2 linked regions of the Arabidopsis thaliana genome follow. The protein of the gene in region 2 interacts with the protein of the main gene of each other region in a pairwise test. Each region holds a gene or a part of one and is shown on either strand. Other genes may lie near its edges.

Region 1 (10,790 bases), on a different chromosome or scaffold from region 2:
TCAAATGGATCGTGACCTAACGAAATCTAGATATTTGTGGGTCCATTCAACTACTAACTTTGTCGCTTCTTTTTGTAATTTTCCAAGGGTCGGCTGATTTGCATTATTGATTATACATGCATGTCAAAAGTAAAGAAGCCTTAAACATTTCACTAGTTAATATTTAAAAAGGTGTTACTTATCTTCTTCAATCAGATCCAACTAGCTATCCCTAAAATAAAATGTCTCAACTAAATTTTGAAATCTGTATAAGAATAACAAAGTAAACATTTTCATCACTTAACAAATTGCTAAATAATCATGAAAGGTTGAAATGTTAATTTTAATACATTAATGACATTTTTATTTTCTGTAGTTTTTTTTATTTATTAACAACATGCATAATGATAATTTGAAATTAAGTTTGGTCTAAGTCTAACCAAACCTGAAACACAACTTAACCAACAAAATCTTTTACCTCCTCTCATGCTCTATCAGAATCTTACTAGTTATGTGTCCAGTAGGCAGTAGCATTGGCTAACCCTCGTATAAGGTAGTTCTGATAATTGCATTTATCAAATATTATATGTAACAACATGCAACAAAAGTGATATATTTGGGACATTTTCACTGATCAAAATATCCCAAAATGAAGACTAAGGAAGGGTCCAGGTCTAAGGAAAAATAGAGCCCGTACACAAGATTTGACCAAGAGAACTATTTTAACTTTAAATAAATATATATATATATATATATCCATAAAAAGCATTAATCAGATTCCATTTTGATTGATATATATGATAAAATATGTAAACTTACAATGGCAAAACAAAAGTACAAACGAGGACAAGAACCGTACCTTCAAACTTTTGTTTCACCTAACAATCTCACTCTAATCTAATCCATCTAAGTCTTCAAAGTACTAGATTGTGGATTCATGATCTGGATAAAGACTTCTTACGCCTACAAATTCGTGTTTATACTTGAAACAATAAAAAATTACAATAGCAAAATTACTCGAAACTCGGGAGCTACCAAGCAAATCTTGTCCCCGTGCCATCGAGAAATCTATCAGTATACCATCCTTTAGCTTGCACTTGAGATAAAAATGGATTGAAGACATCGTTCATTTTGTCATACGCGTCTTGCAATATAATGTCATCAGGGTCATTATATATCTTTGTCATTGACTTGACATATGCTGCAACTAACCACCCTCGCAATGCATCTTCACCGGTTGCATCGTGCTCTAAGACCATATCGGTCCATGACTTTCCATGACTCAATAGAAACTTCTCTTCTACAAACACTTGTTTTAGTCTTTGTACCTCAGAAGGCTTCACAGCTTTATGGAGAGCCCTTCCCACTTTTACATTTCCTGCGTCTTGGATTGGTCTCTCGGGGAACATTAGGTCTTCTTGGAATCTTAAATCAGGAGGGCTTGGGACTTTACCAGTCTGAGAAGATACAACAACACCTCTTATGTAATTAAAAGAAATCAACAAGATGGTTTACAGAAAAATTGAACAAAAGATGATGCTAATTACCTTGAGAAAATTAGCCACAATCAAAGCGGTTCGCTGTGGATTCAGTGTGTTGATTGGTACCCCTCGCATTTGTTCTACAACGCTATACACATGTACAACCGAAAGAATTGACCCAACCACCAACTGCAGATATCAGCCTTTTCATAATAGAGTTGCAATCCAAACAAATAGAAACTGCATTTTGAAATAGAGAGTAACGATGTAGCAGAATGACATTACCTTTCCCTCCATTGATGAACATATTGTGGACGCAAGTTGAATACCAGCACCTATCCCGGCAACATTGAAAAGAGTAGAGATAGCTTCTCCTTTTGCAAAAATGTCACTAAGATTTCCTTCTTTGGCAAAAGATGAATATATTGGTAATCTTGTTGCCCTTGCTGCAACTGTAGCCATTCCCTATTTAAAACAAACAATGCCAGAAAAGTATGAAAAACAGGAAACCAGTGAAGCTGATTGATGTATAAAAGGATGGTCTTTAGAAAGCTAATATATCTCATAGGTCTCCTATTGAAGCTGCTGAGGAAAGCAGGCACAGATGTTCTAAGAAAGATATCTATACCTTAGCAAAATTCCCCAGACCAGCCATTTCAAGAAACAGATGCGGGCATAATGGAGAAACGAGTTCCAGACCAGTACCAAGATCGTAAAGCACGTCAGCTGAAAATTATGAATCAATACTTTTTATAGTTAACGCTATAAAGACATCAGCAGAAACATGTAGCTACAGAATGGTGCATACCCAGAATCCTCCACCGTTTAGGCTCAGAGTCCATTCTTGCACCCAAATTGCTACATATTAGCTTTCCGACATGTTGCATCCCATCCTTCAATATCTACAGAACCAATAGAGTAAACAAAACTTTCACTTACGGACAGGGACTGAACAAGCAAACGAACAAACAAACTGAAGTGGTTTAACATACCCAGCTAACAACAGTTGCTTGTGCCGGTGTAGGCCGCAAGCCTGCAGCAAACAACAGTGACTGCAAAGGAATGATACAAAAAAAAGTTATGTGTCCATGTGAAAACCTCCATTACAACAGCTCAAGTAAACAAATGCAATTTTCCCAAAATCAATAATCAAAGCTGAATCATGAAGAAGACCTGAGTCGATAACACTGATAATGCTGCACTAGAGAAATGCTGAAGTGCTCGAAACTGTGTGTACCTAAGATATCCTTCGTTGACACTATAGAGAAGAAGTAAAGAAAGAAACTTGGTTAAAACACATGCTTTAAGGCTAAAGCCTAGAGACTCTCTAAAAACAAAAGTTCCAAACTTTGAGTTCACCTGTATGGATAACCAGAAGGAAAGAACTTGTTAAGGAAAGATTCAACCATCTTCTGAGGAACAGGTCTTGCATCATCAACAACTTTCATCTAAAACGTGATAATTCACATAATGATTCTACAAGTTGAGAGCAATGGCATAAGAGAGACAAGAACGAGGGAGAGGGAGATTTACAGAGAGGTGGCCGTCGGATTGGAACTGATAACGGTGAGAGACAGAATCAGAGGTTTCGAACCAGTAAACCGGAAAGTCTTCAGGGCTCTTCAACATTACTGGGTCTTCCTTCTTTATCAACTTCACCTTCTCCTGCTTCGTTCCCCAAGTTACAAAGTCATTCACTATAGTTTGGAGAATCATAAAATGAGATTAAAAATACAATAGAATAAAGATTGTGAAATCCTACAAGAAACTGCATCTCTGAGACACGATGGCACAGTCAGGTTCCGAACGTTAAGAGTCGCCGGAGTTGGAGTGAACCACCACAACAGTAATCGCCTAGAGCCGTCTAAAAACAAAATCAAAGAGATTATCTTAACAACGACGTCGTTTCTTCGTTCCTTTTCTACTTCTGAGGCCCAAATGATTTTTGTTACTATTCACTAATGGGCTTAATTAAGGCCCAATATTGATAGATACGCGGCGACTAGTTAAGGGGCAACAAATATGGCCCACTTAAAAAGAAACACGACTTTTCTTATCGCGTTGTTCTAACGCCACCGACCGAACACTTCTTTTTCTTCTGCAATAAACCAAAAAAAGTTAAAAATTCAAAAACTTAATTACTAAGCAAAAGTGTGCACGAAGAACAAAGCGACGCATCCGATTTTATTTGTTTGATAAGTTCGTGTCGTCTTCGTCTCTCTAACCCAATTCTGTGGTGTCTGAAGAAAGCAGAATCAAATCCATGTCTTTCAGAGGACTTAGCAGGGTAAAATTACAAAAAAAAACTTTTCTCTTCTTGCTTAAAATCGATGTACTCTTGTCTATGTCGCAAGCATCTTCAATGTTAAAAATTTGATTTTTATGAAGTCGATGTTAAAAAAAACTAAACCCATCTCCATTTTTACTCTTATTGAGGGTTTAAGATCACTAGATGAAGTCAATTCGATGAATTTTGGATTAAAAATCGAATCTTTTGGTATGGTTTTGATATGTGTTTTGGTTTTATATCTGTAGCCAAATGCAATATCTGGAATGGGTGTTGCAGATGAGAGCAAAACCACATTTCTAGAGCTTCAAAGGAAAAAAACTCATCGCTATGTGGTCTTCAAGATTGATGAATCCAAAAAAGAAGTTGTTGTTGAGAAAACTGGAAATCCTACAGAGAGCTACGATGATTTCTTAGCTTCACTTCCTGATAATGACTGCAGATACGCTGTTTATGACTTTGATTTCGTTACTTCTGAGAATTGTCAAAAGAGCAAAATCTTCTTCTTTGCTTGGTTAGTTTGATTTTTACCATTAGTAAGTCTATAAGGGTTTTGATGTGTTGAGACTAAAACATTTTGATTTGGGACTACTGATGTTGTAGGTCTCCTTCGACCTCTGGAATTCGAGCCAAGGTGCTTTACTCGACTTCTAAAGACCAGTTAAGTAGGGAGCTTCAAGGGATTCACTATGAGATTCAAGCTACTGATCCTACTGAGGTTGATCTTGAAGTGTTACGCGAACGAGCGAACTGAGAGCAAGCAAGATTGCTATGTCTATTCAAAACTTATGGTAATGTAATGAATAATTCGTATTCTCTGTGGATTGATTTGTGTAAACACAGTTTCATGTTCTATGTCAAACTGTATAACCTCTGGTGTTTCAGATTGCACAACCTAAAGCTTAGGTAAACTGAATATGGTTTAAGATCGTAAAAGGTTGATATATTAGTAATGTTAAGAGGGAGAAGAAACTTCTCTTTAGTAGATAACGAGAATGTTGATGAGCATGATGAGAGAGTTCTTAAACTAGTCTAGCAAATTCTGTATAAGCTCTTGTTGTAGCCATCTTGAATTCGAGTCTAATCCTTGCGAACAATATAGAAAGTGGTAGTGTGTAAAGTTTCCCTCATCATTTGTGGTTTCTTTTTCTCACTTTCTTCGGTGTAGTAAAATTTAAGTTGTATGTATAATAGTTCTATCATATACCTGCTTTCTAAAACAAAACAAAAAAAACCTCTTTCTTGTTTCCGCATATCCCCTTCCGATTCCATTGAGAGCAAAACCATTTTATGAGGTTGTATACTTAACCTACCATTCCTAATTCCTAATTGCTTAACTGTTACCAAACTGTGATGTCAAAAAGAAAAATGTTACCAAACTGGAGTCAAAATGACATAAATACCCTTGACCATTTGAGAAAAAATGTAAGGAATTAGGAGGTTGCAAGTGGGGTCCATTGCCGTTGTGGCCAAAAGCGAGATTGCATGACCCAACTGAAATCTCAATTAGGAAGGAGATTGCATTATTTTTATATGTTTATTTATCATATCTCATATTAAGGTCCATTTCCTTCAGTCTATTATCATCATGTATCCACTATTTGTTTGACATTGGGGAACATTTTAGAATAAGAAGTGGAACTGGAAAGTAAAATATATCTATTAGTTCCAACATATTTCATTAGTTTTAATTTTTCTTGCTCCAAACTCTAGTAGTTTATAAATACACGGCTTGAATTACGTTTAAAAGAAAATAACTAAACTTTCTAATAATTCTCCAAATATTAGAACATGTCTTAGTAAAGAATTAAAGCTTTGTTTGTGTCAGAAATTAAAGGTTGGAACCATTTTGTTCTCATTCATAAAAGGGAGAAGAAAAAAAAGAAAAGAAAAATTGTTTCCTCTGTCTTGAAGTATTTAGTAGAGAGCTGTCCAAAACAATACAAACACGTCCAAAAAACCCTCTCCTATGGGAACAAGAAAGACCCAAAAGACACAAACACACACCCAAACTCCATCAAACAGAAATAAAGCAAACCAAAAAAGCTTCTCTCTTTTTTCCTACATTTGATTTAAGCTCTAAATGTTGAAATGATCTTTGATTTGACATTGTGAAGCTGAAATATAGCTGGTGGTAACCTTCAAAGACGACAAAGAAGGAAAAAGATCATCATCTTCTAACTTTTGGTAATTAGATAATTTCATTCTCTAAACAAAGTCTGATTTTTGAATCAATACTAAAAAAGTGATAGAAGAGAAGCTATCAAAACACAAAAACAGAGGATTTTTCTTTTCCAATCTAAAAGAAAGGTGCTTAAGGGAATTAGTTTGAGATTAGGTTTTAACTGAGTTTATACAAACTTTCTTTATTTAATGAAATTAACTTAGATTGGCTTTTGTCTTAAAGATTAATTATGGTTGTGAAAATTAGTTTTGGTTGCAGAAAAAAATCAGTTGAAAATGTATGAGGAAAGTTCATGTTTTGATCCTAATTCGATGGTGGACAACAACGGCGGCTTCTGTGCGGCGGAAACAACTTTTACGGTAAGCCACCAGTTTCAACCACCGCTTGGAAGCACAACAAACAGCTTTGATGACGATCTTAAGCTCCCAACAATGGATGAGTTCTCTGTTTTCCCTTCTGTTATCTCTCTCCCAAACTCAGAAACTCAGAACCAAAACATCAGCAACAACAACCATTTGATCAACCAAATGATTCAAGAATCGAATTGGGGTGTTTCTGAAGACAACTCTAATTTCTTCATGAACACTTCACATCCAAACACAACAACAACTCCAATCCCTGATCTTCTCAGCCTCTTGCATTTGCCTAGATGCTCTATGTCATTACCAAGCTCTGATATAATGGCGGGTTCTTGCTTCACGTATGACCCGCTCTTTCACTTAAACCTTCCTCCACAACCTCCATTGATCCCTTCTAATGACTACTCAGGGTACTTGCTTGGTATTGATACCAATACTACTACTCAAAGAGATGAGTCTAATGTTGGAGATGAAAATAACAATGCTCAGTTTGATAGCGGAATCATCGAGTTTAGCAAAGAGATTAGGCGTAAAGGAAGAGGGAAGCGAAAGAACAAACCTTTTACTACAGAACGTGAGCGAAGATGTCACTTGAATGAGCGGTACGAGGCCTTGAAATTGCTCATTCCTAGCCCGAGTAAGGTTAGTTATTTACTTATGACAACAATCTTTCTTGGTTTAGCTTCATTCATTATCTCCAATGGCACTTTGCTTAATTCATATTATATGTTATTTAGGGAGATAGAGCATCAATTCTTCAAGATGGAATCGATTACATCAACGAGTTACGCAGAAGAGTAAGTGAGCTTAAGTATTTGGTAGAGAGGAAGAGATGTGGTGGGAGACACAAGAACAATGAAGTAGACGACAACAATAACAACAAAAACTTGGATGATCATGGTAATGAAGATGATGATGATGATGATGAAAACATGGAGAAGAAGCCGGAGAGCGATGTAATAGACCAATGTTCAAGCAACAACTCGCTGAGATGTTCATGGCTGCAGAGGAAATCAAAAGTAACAGAAGTTGATGTTAGGATTGTTGATGATGAAGTAACAATCAAAGTTGTTCAGAAGAAGAAGATCAATTGTTTGTTACTTGTCTCCAAAGTACTTGATCAGCTTCAGCTTGATCTTCACCATGTTGCCGGAGGACAGATTGGTGAGCATTACAGTTTCTTGTTCAACACCAAGGTTAGTGATCAATGAATATATATATATATATAACAAATCTTGGTTTATGGATTTTGATATATACTGGATTTAGTTTTGGTAATAATGATTGAATAAATTGCAGATATATGAAGGATCAACAATATATGCAAGTGCAATAGCAAACAGAGTGATTGAAGTTGTGGATAAACACTACATGGCTTCTCTTCCCAACAGTAACTATTAATTGTTAGGCTAACTTCATCTATTTTCTAACGTTTTTTAATCCATGTAATTTTTACTCATTTGCAAAACTAAATAAAAACTCATTTTGGATGATTTGGATGTTTAGTTTCTAACAAGATATGTATGATTTGGATCCCTCAAATGAGCCAAAGAGCCTACAAATTAGAAGACCTAAAGGAATGAACATATTACTCAACATCATAAGTTCATCATTTCTATGTTAGATTTGTTATCTTTTCGTTAAGCTCCGAGTTTTTTCTATATTCTCCAAATATCTGGAGGCAACTTTTAGACGATTATCTTTGGAATGTCCCTCTTTCTAACTGCAATCCGAACTAGGCATATCTCTTTTTCAATGTTCTTGTATATGTTCTCTTTAAAAAATTAAAAACCAGTGGCAGAGGCAATTGTAAGGGAATGGGGTCAACTGACCCAACAAAAATAAATAATTAAAAAAAAAAAGAAATTGTAAGATTGACCCCACTGAAAATTTTATATTGACCCCTATAAATTTGACTTATGTTTTACTTCAAAAAAAACCCTAAAACCCCACATTTTTTCTAGAAACCTTATAAAATTTGGGTTTACAGATTAAGATTAAACACATTCGCTTACTAAATACATTTTCATGTTTTTCTTTTATTAAAAATTTGACCCAATAAAAATTCGTCCTACCTCGGCCAGTGAAAGAAGCCATTAAACCAAGAAACACTTGGTATTTCTTTGTTAAAATTGATACAACCATCGTTATGGTTCCAAAGTTTGTATGACTAGGTAGGTTGGGAACAATAGCAACTACTTCTGTACTTGTGTACGAGAGAAGTAGGTGACAAGAAAATTTTCAGTTTCTATAAAGTTACGAGAGTATCCATAAATCATCACGTTACAAAAAAAAATAAAAAATAAAAAATAATTAAATATGAAATTATATTTTCACATTTTTGGATGAGGGACCTACCTCTTCATCTTCTTTCATACTGCTATAAACATATATGGCATGATCTAACCGCAACATAAAACTTATAATATTTTTCTAGCGTTTGTTGATATTATTAAGAGAGAGACAAATAGATATGTTTCTCAATTTATTTTCTTCAAAACAGTTAACGTCGAAATTTGGACATTCTGAATCATCGCTTCTACGAGTGTGATGCACATAGATAAATGAGGTTAAAACGAAGTGATATCATGAATGATTATTGGGGATGAAGTAGTAATTGTCAATTTATTAACAAATAATGAAAACTTTATATGTAGGAAACTATCTACCCAAATCCCTCATCTTCGATCTGTTTGTTGTTTGTGTAATCCAGTCGAAGAGTTATTCAATTGTAAAGATAATATAGGGTATAATTTCATAATTTTTTCAGCAAAAGCACAACTTTATTAAGCTAAAAAATAGACATAAAATATGTTTAACAACATCTATTTAAGACATTACTGTGAAATAGGTTAGAAACATAGTGCTAATTAAGTCAAGTCAACATTTTGTGTCCTAAAAAAATAAAATAATAAATTTGTGTCCTAAGTGAAAAAAAAATAGAAAATTTTAATTCCATCTGCAAATCTCCTTATATTCAATCAAAATACAGAGAGGGAGAGACTTGTTAAAGAAACTTTGTTTCTTCTCTTGAAATTGATAATCTTCTAGAGTATTGAACCATCTTCATGGAACGTTACACAAAAAAAAACGAGAGGTTCAAGGCAGAGGAAGGAAAAGGATCAAAGAAGTCGAGAACTTTCCTTACAGAACGCGAAAGACGAGCTCTCTTCAATGACCGTTTCTTCGACTTAAAGAACCTCATTCCAAATCCCACAAAGGTTAGATATATATTTTTATGTTTAATCTTTCATTCTTTTTCGTCTGTTTAATCTTTCATTCATTCTCTCCAATATCTCTTGATCAATACACATGCTCTATTACTAGGGAGGTGAAGCATCCATTGTTCAAGATGGGATCGTTTACATCAACGAGTTACAAAGACTAGTTAGCGAGCTTAAGTATTTGGTTGAGAAGAAAAAATGCGGTGCAAGGCACAACAACATTGAAGTAGACAATAAAAACACGATTTATGGGACTAGCAAGATAGAGCATCCATTCTCCAAAAACAAAAACACTTTTAACTGTTTGATTCGTACACTTAGATTTGTACACCACTTTTAGTGTACATATATATATAAAAATACACAACGTACACTTTACATTTGTACACTAAAAGTGTTGTACAATCCAAGTGTACGAATCAAATAGTGAAAAGTGACTACTTTGCAAATTATGAATAGTAAAGTGACTACTTTTCCAATTAAGTTTGAAAAAGTGACTAGTTTGCCAACACACCCAACTTTCTTTAGAGCTGAAAATGTCAAGACAATGTTATATAAGAAAGATGAATGCACTTTGATTACGGAGAAAGAAAAGAAGGAATGATTCAAAGAAAAGAAGCAGTGATGAATGATGAAATTCATCCCCAACCCCAAGCATCTACGATGAAGCATCATGCATAATATATAAGAGTGATCAAATTAATCATAGACCACTTTGAATAGACTTGTCTATTGTTAGAGATATTGTGACGTGTGTTTTAGACCGGTTAAGTCGGGTTTGTAGACCGATAATTTTTAGAGAAGTGCAGGCCCTGTTAAACTAATATCAATTTCTATGAAATATCTGTAGTGCAACCGTCAAATAAAATAAAAATGATACGATTCATTACCTAAATGAATCCAACCCAACCCCTTTTCTGAAACTATTGGCTATGTATGGACCGAATCAAGCGGCACTACATTTTTAATATATCAAAAACCAAATCGTTGGTTTGGTCCGGCAATACATTTTAACATTTTCTGAGTAATCAGAGTTTGTACTGTTTAGTTAGGATGGGGACAGTCGCAGTGTACCGTGTACGAGAGAGGTAGGTGACCAGAATTTTTTCAGTTTCTGTCGAATTTCAAGAATAACCCTAATTCTTTTTTTTACTAAATCAAATATAAAGTATATTATTATCCCATTCTTGGATGTGGGACCTACTTCCACTACTTCTCAAACAACCCGCTCTCTTTGCTATAAACAGAAATCGCATGACCCAACCGCTCAACAAG
Region 2 (9,985 bases):
AAGAAAGGAAGAACAAAACAAAGACTTACGTTTTCAACAAAGCAAAATGCAAATGCTTTTTTTTTGTTTTCTCTGTACATTATAGTAATAAAAGGATCATACATAATAGTTTTCTTCAAGTGTTTCAAAATGTTCATCATCAAGAGAATTGTAATCTTTACATTTCCAAAGCATTTAATTAATCCCTTCTCTGTTGAATCTTAACCCTTTGTTACAAGTGTTCTTGTCCGCGAAATCATCTCAAATCGTCAAGCCTAACATTTTCTCCCATGCTTTTACATGAAAAGCCATTAGTAATAGCATTTTATTTATACTGTTTGCTAGTTGAATCACATTCAGAAATAATTTGAGAATTTTGATTGATCAATTTGGTTGAAGCATTCATGGCTAGAAGAAAATAATATTCCGGATCTTTCTTTTGCTTTATTCTCCAAAGAAATGTGATGATTCCATAAGACAAACCTGTCTTTTTTACTACAATAGTCACTGGGACAAACCAGTAACTGTACTTTATGATTCCATGTCTACTCGATTTAGGTTTTTGTTTTCAATTCAGTTGTGGCGTGCTCGTACCAAAAGCACATGGTCTCTGTTGAATTCTCTCCACAATGATTTAATGTTCCTTCACAAAAAGATGGGTTATTTGTTTTTTTTTTAACACTCGTGCTCTTTTTTTTATAGAAAACAGTGCTGAAATATCACTGCTTTATGTTTCTTATTCAATCATATGCCTTGATTTGAGGACACACAAACAAAACAAGACAGAGTCGTGTGTAGCCTTTGAGTACTATGAAAAGAGCTGCTTTATTAAAGTGATTGTTTTTCTAATTAAAGATCTCCTTAATGGAGATATTAATTACCTAATTTATAGTTGACAAAAAATCATCTAATTTGTCTTCCTAATCCTTTTTAAAAATCCACAATATTCTATATACCTTTATAAGATTCTGACTGTGACTGGTATTATTACAGAGTGTGGAAATTAAATAATGTGTAGTGGAATCACGATATTGTGAGAATAAATCATTAAATTAAGACCAATTTTTTTAAAAATTTTTTGTCTTTAATATGACAGAATAAGTGGTTTACCAAAAAATAAAAAAATAACAGAAAAAGTGAACATACTCAATAAAATAGTATTGATTGATAAAACAGCAAAAAAAGAAACACAAATTATCTAATCTTTCGGCCATTCCACGAAGTAGGCTCTAAATTTGTAGGAAGTAATGGAACGAGACATCACATTTTATACACAAATTAACACCAGACTTTACAGTTCTTAGAACAAAACTAATCTATGAGTTTTCATGTGTAATGTACTAATGTTACATTTTTGATTCAGTATAAGAGTCTAATTCCACAAACTAGATGTGTCCAAATGCTGCGGAGGAGTGGAGAAAGTACTTGAGATCGGCATCAGACAAAGACCGCGGCTTCGAAGATCTTGTCTTGGACTACAATTTTGATTATGAGTATTATTGCTTGATTTGTCTGACCACTAGAAATTGAAAGAATCTTATTAATGATCATAAGCAAAAGAACAAAAATCAAACTACTTAATTGATTTTAGATTATAGAGTTGTTTAACCGTTAACTAAGTTAAGTACCTGCTTCTGTTCACCAGATCCTATAGAGTTCAGGTGTGGACTAGTAGAGACCTTTTCCTATTTAAATGATTATAAAAAGAATAAATATAACAGTTAACTAAAACCAACAATTAATTAGTAGTAGTATTTCATATTTGAGAGATTATCAACTTACAGTGATTTGTTCTTGTAGAAACTTGATGTAATCTATAGCATCATGGAGGACAGAAGCAGTGTCTGTCTGTAAAAATCATCACAAAATAATAATAAATAAATTTGAAAACAGAAGTAGCTAAAAAAATTTCGTAATTATGTATGGATAATATATAGTAGAGATATCAATATAACAGATCATGAATTCATGATGAACACAAACCTTGCCAAAGGGTGAAACTAACTGTTGAAGCGCGGTAATTCGATCTCCGAGTTTCTCTTTACGAACCTTATCAATCAAAATAGTTTTTGGAAAAATATCAGCAATAGTTTGTGCATGGGTATGTGTTTCTTAGCATAACTAACTTTTTTTAGTGATAAATGACAATCCTTGAAAACTGTAGTAAGATCATTTGTTACTAACTTTGAAGCTCGGAAAATGAGATGGTGTCTCAAGTCTTGGCCTTTTTAATGGCTGTGATGACTCAATATCTTCGAGTTCTCCACTTTTCTCACTTGCTCTCTAAAAATAATTGGTCACAATGTCAAAATCTACAGAAATATTGTAAAATATCTCTATTAAAAGAAACTAATTAAATAGATTTGCCCACCTTGCATGTAGTCAGACTCTTGCAAGCTTGCATGTCTTCCTTGGGTTTTTGGTGATCAAATACTGATATCATTCTTGATTCGTTCGGGAAAACGTCATCAAAGAAGTGAAAGCTTTCGAATAGTTCTGGTTTGGGACAGTTAGGAACCAATAATTGCTCACTAGAATCAAACAATCCTTCTAGAAAACTATTTATCTGATTGTATCGTTCTTCTTCATGGCTGGTAAAAAAGAGAAAAGAAAAAGAATGTCAGGATTCAGGAACAAAGATCATGATTTTACGTTATACGTCACGTAAGATGATAAATGGACTTACATGTTAGATGGACTCGAAACGTAGATTTGTGATGTGGTATCAAGATTTGCATTGCCTAAGAATGTGGAAGTACTAAGGTAGTTCTCGTTGTAAGTTTTGGCATCAAGGGTATCAATGTTTTGCCATTCAATCTCACCAAAATCGACAACAATCTCCGCGGAACGTGGCAGAGAACAGCCTGAGAACATGCCGTTGGAGGAGCTCCACCATGTTCCGGTACAAACTCCCGTAGTGTCGAATTCTTCTGTCATGTTTTGTTGGTTACGTAGACAATGGTTTAGTTTGTGTAGACTTATTTCTTCGTAAGTGTCAGAGTTTGCATGAGACAGTAATGATGTTGATGATGGGGATTGTATTTATATGTAGCGATGAGGTTTAAGTCAACTAACAAAGTTATAATATTTGTTAAAAAAAAGTTTTGTACAAGAGTTTTATATGTTATTGGTACTTCCCTAATTAATCTATTAATTATTTAGATAATGTATGTTTATCAGAGTAGTCGATAGGAAGTTAGGTCAAGCAAATTAAGTAATTAAAAGATGACAAATTTTTTTTACCAACGTACGTACAATGTAAAGTTTAGTTTTGATTTTGGTTAATCAAATAAAAACTTTGATGTACATGTGAGTTTGTGAGTTGTGACCCTATCTTCTCAAACATTGTAAAACAGAGTTAATTTCTTACTATCATCATAATTACTACTTTTCTTACTCTTTGATATGGGATGGTAATACTAAAATGTTTGATATATGTTGAAGTATATATATTTATTTATTTATTTTTATGTGTTGAACGCAGTTGAAGTATTAACTTGTCAAGGGGAAAAAAGTAATAAAATTTTAGTTAAACAAATAATGTGAATATATTTTTAATTAAGTCATCGTACGGATATGGTATTTATTTTACTTGCAAATTGTATATTTGTATAGCAATGCATATTTATTAACTACTGTTTTGGGGGTTTACTGATTCAAATAATTAAAAACAAAAATGACGTCACAGTTATATATGTCAATATAGAAAGAATATGTTTGTCGTCCAAAAAATAATCTCATTTTTGGGATGGTCGATGAATACGTACAAGGAAAAGAAAGTCAGCGTTACCAAATCCATCGCAAAAGGGTAGTTGTTGGCTGGCCTCGTTTTGATCTATACGACTCCGGACGTCTTTTGTTTGTACACAGTTACGTGCGCATATCTGACCTACGTGTCGACTCTTTAAAAAAAAATGTAAAAACTTCAAACAAATATGGATTTACATTGTAAACAAATTTTTTTTGAAATATATGGATTTAGATCAATCTTGCTCTTTGGAGAAAATAGCTTATTGGTTTTGCTTCAAGCCTCTCCAAATGATATCATAACTTATAGGAATTAGGATTACACTTAATTGAGTTTCATTGTGCTTTATATATGGATATGACAACAAAAAGAGAGTTATCGAAATAAGTTTTTTTTCCCTAATTGAACAGAAAATATAAATTAATACAACTATTTGAAAAGAAGTAGTTAATAAGACGTATACCATATATGCATTCACCAAAGAATGAAGACTTTCTTTAATTATAATTTTTGTTTTGTAATGGACATGATTAAAATATATATTTTTACTTTCTGAAATTTATTAAAATGAATTGTTGATATTCGGATATAATCACTAACAAACAACTGTATAAATGTATAAATGGATTAAGTCAGACCGTCCCCTCCAATCCATTTGGGTTATTTTAGGTTTGATCTTTAAATTTAGAAAGATTCCCAAAATATGTGCTCATGTCATATGGTTTGACTCAGCAAATTATTTTAATATTTTTAGTCAATAGATATATTAAATATTTGTAGACTTCGAGTGACTTAGGTTACAGTACACCAACTTCAATAAGAAGAATTTAACCAAGTAAATTATTAATTAATCAACCTTCACTGGTTTTTCTGTTTATATACAATTTAACTTGTTTTCATACGATTTGAGTTCAATAGAATTTTAAGACCAACATTCTTAAGACTATATAGAGATTGTTGATTTGATTCATTTGACATGAGGAAACGGTCCATCGTTTTATTTCATTGAGAGTGGAAACTATAAATTATTTTATATTGTTAATCAAATATGTCGTGGAGTAGGGAAAGTCAGAGATGATAAAGGTATATTATTATTTTTATAAAAAAATAGTTAATAGGTTAGGAAAATGTCTTTTGATTTTGGCTCTATTGAATAGTTTTGATATTTGAATAAAAAAACTTAGGTTTCTACCAACTTCCAACCTTACACAAATGAACATCACTATTCACTACTCACCATTTGGATGGTTGAAATTAAATGGGCTCAACTTGAGAATGGCCCATTTAAGAGCTAATTCATTCTAAGCCCATTTTAAAAAGAAACCCCCATTGCTCGGATCCTAGAGATAATATCTAGTGTTTTCTTTCTTTGACCTCAAACAGAGGATCATGAACATTTTGCAGCAACATATATGAAGACAAGAAGAAGCTCATTGGCTTGTAACACAAACTCTTTTTCATCTGAATCATATCATATTTAAAATGGAACAACAATGTAATAAAAACCAATGGAAATGTTATTAGATCAAGAAATTTCCAAGATGTATATAATTAATACTTATGGATTGCTTCTCATAACTTCCAAAAGAAAATCTTTTGTCTGTTCAACATCACAGAGTTCCTGTGTCTGAACAGAGGCACTAATAAGAATTGCTCCATTTGAAGTTGTTAGACTAATATCGATAATCTCGAATCCGAGAAATCTCATAACCTCCATGAATTTAGTAAAGATCCCATCTCTCTTCTCTGTTATGATCTTTAACCAAAACTTCCTCTCCCCAATCTTACACAATTGCACATTCTCCTGTCCCAAAAATAAAAAATCATCAAGAAAGATAAAGAAAATGAATCAAAAATCGATTAGAGAAATTTTAAAAACCTCGATTCCGAGTTTCTTCATCTCTTCGTTAAGATCACTAGTTTCAACTTCAGGTTTTATCATTGGATCCGTTTGTTCTTCATCAATCTCAGGAGGAGCTTCTTCCATTTCATGAAATGTCTCTAAGAGATTCTTAACATTGTTTTGAAGCTCTCCTATGTAAGTAATCGCATCTTCAACAATACTTGCTTTAGTCATCTGAAAACGAAACAAAAACAACAACAATCATCACCAAAATACCCATAAAATAATAATCGAGATTTGGGACTTACGTTGGTGACAATGGGGACATGAGATCGCAGAGCCATAAGCCGACAATGAAGCTTCTCTCTTCTACGTCTCTCTGCTTCAAGATTTGGAGATTTGAAGTTTTCATCTTCTTCCTTCTCTTTTGTTACTTGTTTCCTACGGCTCATCCTCACTGGTTCTTGAAATCTGCTTCCTCCACCCATTTATTTCTTCTTCTTTGATAATTTTTCAGACAAAAGTGTTTATATTCTTATTTATGTAATGGTGGTAAAAGACATGAGTTATATAGTTGCTTCTCATGTAGATAGAAGTCTGTTAGTGGAGAGAGAATAAAAGAGAGAATCTTAGTCTCAGTTTGTTATTAAGTGAATGTGATTTCAGTTAGAGTCAAATACAGAGACTAAAATAACAATTTTTGTTTTCATTATAGAGAGAAAAAACAATTTATGACGAATTGAGGAATCTTCTTATTCAAGGGTTCAAAACACGAATCCTTACAGACAAAGGAATGGTAACATTTCGAGTCCCATCAGTCCAAGTGAAACTACCAAAGAAAAAACCAGTGTTACTCTTATGACTCGACGAAACCCTAACTTTAAACCCAAGTTTCTTCGTGTTCGAACAGAACACTAGAGTCTCTGGTTCAACAACAATCTCCACACCTCGCGGAGGCTCGACCACGGCTCTGTAAACTGAGTCCACAGGTCCAACGTTAGTCACCGTTCTTGTGACGGTCACTTCTTCTTCAAGGTCGGGAATCGTGATGGCGGGATAGTTAAGATCGAGGATAGACGGTAATGGAGACGAGCATTTTGTGGGTTTTCCCGTGATTATAGTGATTGATGTATCGTTGTAACCAGTGGCGCAGAAATAGTGAATGTAATCGTCGATGTTCATGTCATAAACTAGTCCTGGATCTTTGGCTCTTTCCGCGTTCACGAGTCCTGCACCGTAGTCAAATGGATCAGCCAGTTTCCGTGGTTCTCCCTCCGCAAAGATTGGTTCCCCGGATGGATCAGTCTTCCATGCTATAATAACAAGAGAAGAAACTCTGGTAAGATTAAATTAACGAATGGTGGTTTTCTGGTGAGGAGAAGAAAGTGGTTTTCCATTTTCAAGAACCTGTAGTCATAATAGCAGATTTTAGCGCAGCAGGAGACCAGTCAGGGTGTAAAGCTTTGAGTAGTACGACGAGCCCCGCAACAACGGGAGTGGCATAGGATGTCCCTGTGCCTAGAAAATAACCGCCGAAAGAATCGGGGTAGGCTTGAGATGTAGCTCCTAAAATCGTCACACCAGGGGCTGCTATATCAGGCTGCATCATTTATAAACCCAAAGAAATTTCCATCATTAACAGGTGATCCTTAAATTGGAAACGACAGACAAGATTTTGAAACACTGTTTAGGGAAAGAACCTTGAGAATGGCAGGAGAGAGTCCATTAGGCCCTCTAGATGAGAATCCGCAAACTTGAGTCGCAATAGGACGTCCTACGAGCGTTTTACCAGTACTAATTTTAATCGTGGGAGAACTGAAGAGACCGCAAGCCATAAGAAGATGATCAGTTTTACATACTCTATGTGACTCGGAAGGATGATCAATCACAAAAAATATAAAATAAAGGATAGTATACCTTGACGAGCGGATGTATCGTAGAATCTTAGCTCCGACTTCATAGTCTACGTAGATGAATGGTTGATTATAGACAATATCACTTTGATAATCACCACTTCGTGCCACGATCAGCCCCGCCGCCTTGTTGATAGTTGTAGTCGCCAATGCGCTTGCCATTTCCCAATCTTCTTTCACAAACGTCAGGACAACTTTTCCCAGCATGCTAGAGGTGTCGGTTTTATAGTGTTCAATGTAAACTAAACCAGCAGATACTTCCTTACCTGTATATTGAGCTTGACCCTGAAACAGTTTTTAAGGGAAAAGAGTAAGTTTCCAAGACTAGTGAAACCCGATGGTGAAAAGACCTGAAAAAACATTTCACATACAATTATGGTAATGTTATTTCCAAAAGTCATGTCTGCATAAAAGGTACGGTCTATGTTAGTTGCAGCGACTGTGAGCATCCATGGGAATACATTAGCCACAGTGTAAGCTTCGGGGCCTGTATTAGAGGCACCAGCTATAACCGGAATGCCCTTCATCACCGCATGGAATGATCCAAGCTCCAAATCTCCCGTAATAGAGTCAATTGGGCGAAAAGGAGCCGCAGAGGCGAGAGAAATCGACAATACATCAACGCCATCGTTTATGGCCTCATCAAATGCCTTGACCATAGTCGCAGTGGATGACATCAAAAGTGCTCTATCCCAGACAATTTTGTACATAGCTATACGAGCCTTTGGAGCAGCGCCTCTCATGACACCAGGTGCAAGGCCACCATATGACACGTTAGGCACAAATGAAGAGGCTGCAATTGAAGAGACCATCGTCCCATGTCCTCTATAACCTCTAGGGGACATAAAGTCCTCCTCGCTGATTCCAGAATTGTTCTCATCAAAGCCATCAGTGAAGTACTTTGCTCCTACTAACTTCTTGTTGCAATGCTTTGCTGGGTCAAAATCCTCTCCGGCTACACACTTCCCTTTCCAATGTTTCGGTATTGGTTCAAGCCCTTCGTCATTATAAGCCGGAGACTCTGGCCATACTCCTGAGTCAAGAAAACCAATGACAAGATCACTTCCCATGTTGCTCTCATGGAGAACTCCTGAGGGAAAACTCGGCGAAAGACCCAAATAATCATAAATCCTCGTGCTCTGCAACTCAACTTTTCGATTTGGTGCGACACTGAAAACATCAGGACGGTCTGGATATAAACATGAAACAAACCCATAGAAAAACCAGAAAATGTGTCAGAAGATGTGTATAACAAGGCTTCACAAGGGCTCTTAATTTACTTGGTTGATATACTAAAAAACAAACCTGAAAGTTGCTTAGCTTGTGAGTCAGTAAGCCTGGCTGCAAACCCGGAAAATCCATGGTGGTAGTTGTAGACGATGGACTCTCGAGCAGCTTCCGCGCTTCATCATCAATACAAAATCATTAGCTCGAAAAACATGAGACATCATCATCAGAAAAGCGAAATCAAGAACTCGGTTTTTGTCATATACCTTTCGAAAACCGATTCCAACATCCTCTGGTGTGATTCAGAGACCAACTCAGAATCATCATGTCGCCTCACGCCTAAATGCACTACATATATCTACCACAATCAGAAACAAAACAAAACACGTTTCATCTATCAGTCACAATTTTGAGCAAACATAACACAACAAGGTCGAAACATAAGAACAAAGACAGAAACCATTTAAACAGACCTTTCTCTCCTCATTGCTGCTTTCTTGAGCAAACACACAAAACCCAACATTTACAATGAACAAGAATCCAATAAAGAGACCAGCTCTGGACCTTCCCTTCACAATTCCCAATATTCTTTGGGAAGAATTGTTTTTTGTTTTCCTCCTTGGTTTAAGCCTTAAAGTTTGGATTTTATGGTGTTGAAAAAACTTACAGAACAACAAATAGACATGAACAGCTTAGCAGGTAGTTAGTTGCTCACAATAGACAATAATCACAAACAACAATTAAAATAATCCAACGAAAAAAAACAAATGTCCAAATAGATTTAAACGAGACAAAATCCATTTTTGACAGAAGACAGTTTTATTATCAGTTTTACAACATGTCCTTCTTCCTGCTAATTTTGGGGCTGTTACTGAAAACAGCTCTTAACCAAAAATTTCATCTCCCGTTACTTTATTTACTTGCATTTGTAAAATCTATTTATGGGATATAAGATTACAATGACATACCGATAGATTAGAAGAACAAAAAAAGATCAATTTTTTTCTTCTAAGAAATCAAATTTGAATGAGTAGAAGGAGCTAGCAACAACAAAATTAGGGTTTAATTTCGAACTATTAACAAGATCTCAAATTAGATACCTCGAAATTTAGGTTACGTTCGCAATTATTTCAATAACAAAAAGGAAAATAGAGAAAAAAGATAGAGAGGAAATAGAGAAGCTTAGGTTAATGATGATCGACGACGAAGACGAATTAGCAACATTTGCAGTAATCTCTTTCGTGTCTTTTCTGGAATTCGATGCTTCTTCATCAA

The links.
Region 1: the proteins of DYT1 (region 2) and AT2G31210 interact in a two-hybrid assay, tested with the Arabidopsis thaliana proteins (one study listed by BioGRID).

What each region holds. Positions count from the first base shown.
Region 1 is NC_003071.7:13,290,448-13,301,237, forward strand, and holds AT2G31210 (basic helix-loop-helix (bHLH) DNA-binding superfamily protein), read left to right. Parts: upstream 1-5,695; 5' UTR 5,696-5,934; intron 5,935-6,178; 5' UTR 6,179-6,207; coding exon 6,208-6,933; intron 6,934-7,028; coding exon 7,029-7,487; intron 7,488-7,590; coding exon 7,591-7,692; 3' UTR 7,693-7,830; downstream 7,831-10,790. Other genes in the region: RUS2 (root UVB sensitive protein (Protein of unknown function, DUF647)), read right to left, coding at 1,011-1,436, 1,527-1,649, 1,746-1,925, 2,089-2,186, 2,269-2,362, 2,453-2,512, 2,634-2,718, 2,820-2,908 and 2 more; ADF6 (actin depolymerizing factor 6), read left to right, coding at 3,724-3,747, 3,996-4,261, 4,351-4,501; AT2G31215 (basic helix-loop-helix (bHLH) DNA-binding superfamily protein), read left to right, coding at 9,360-9,512, 9,619-9,855.
Region 2 is NC_003075.7:11,345,995-11,355,979, reverse strand, and holds DYT1 (basic helix-loop-helix (bHLH) DNA-binding superfamily protein), read right to left. Parts: upstream 6,059-9,985; coding exon 5,879-6,058; intron 5,805-5,878; coding exon 5,607-5,804; intron 5,532-5,606; coding exon 5,286-5,531; downstream 1-5,285. Other genes in the region: B70 (basic helix-loop-helix (bHLH) DNA-binding superfamily protein), read right to left, coding at 1,352-1,498, 1,608-1,664, 1,762-1,827, 1,963-2,028, 2,164-2,262, 2,351-2,570, 2,666-2,916. UniProt on the Arabidopsis thaliana protein: Transcription factor. Involved in the control of tapetum development. Required for male fertility and pollen differentiation, especially during callose deposition.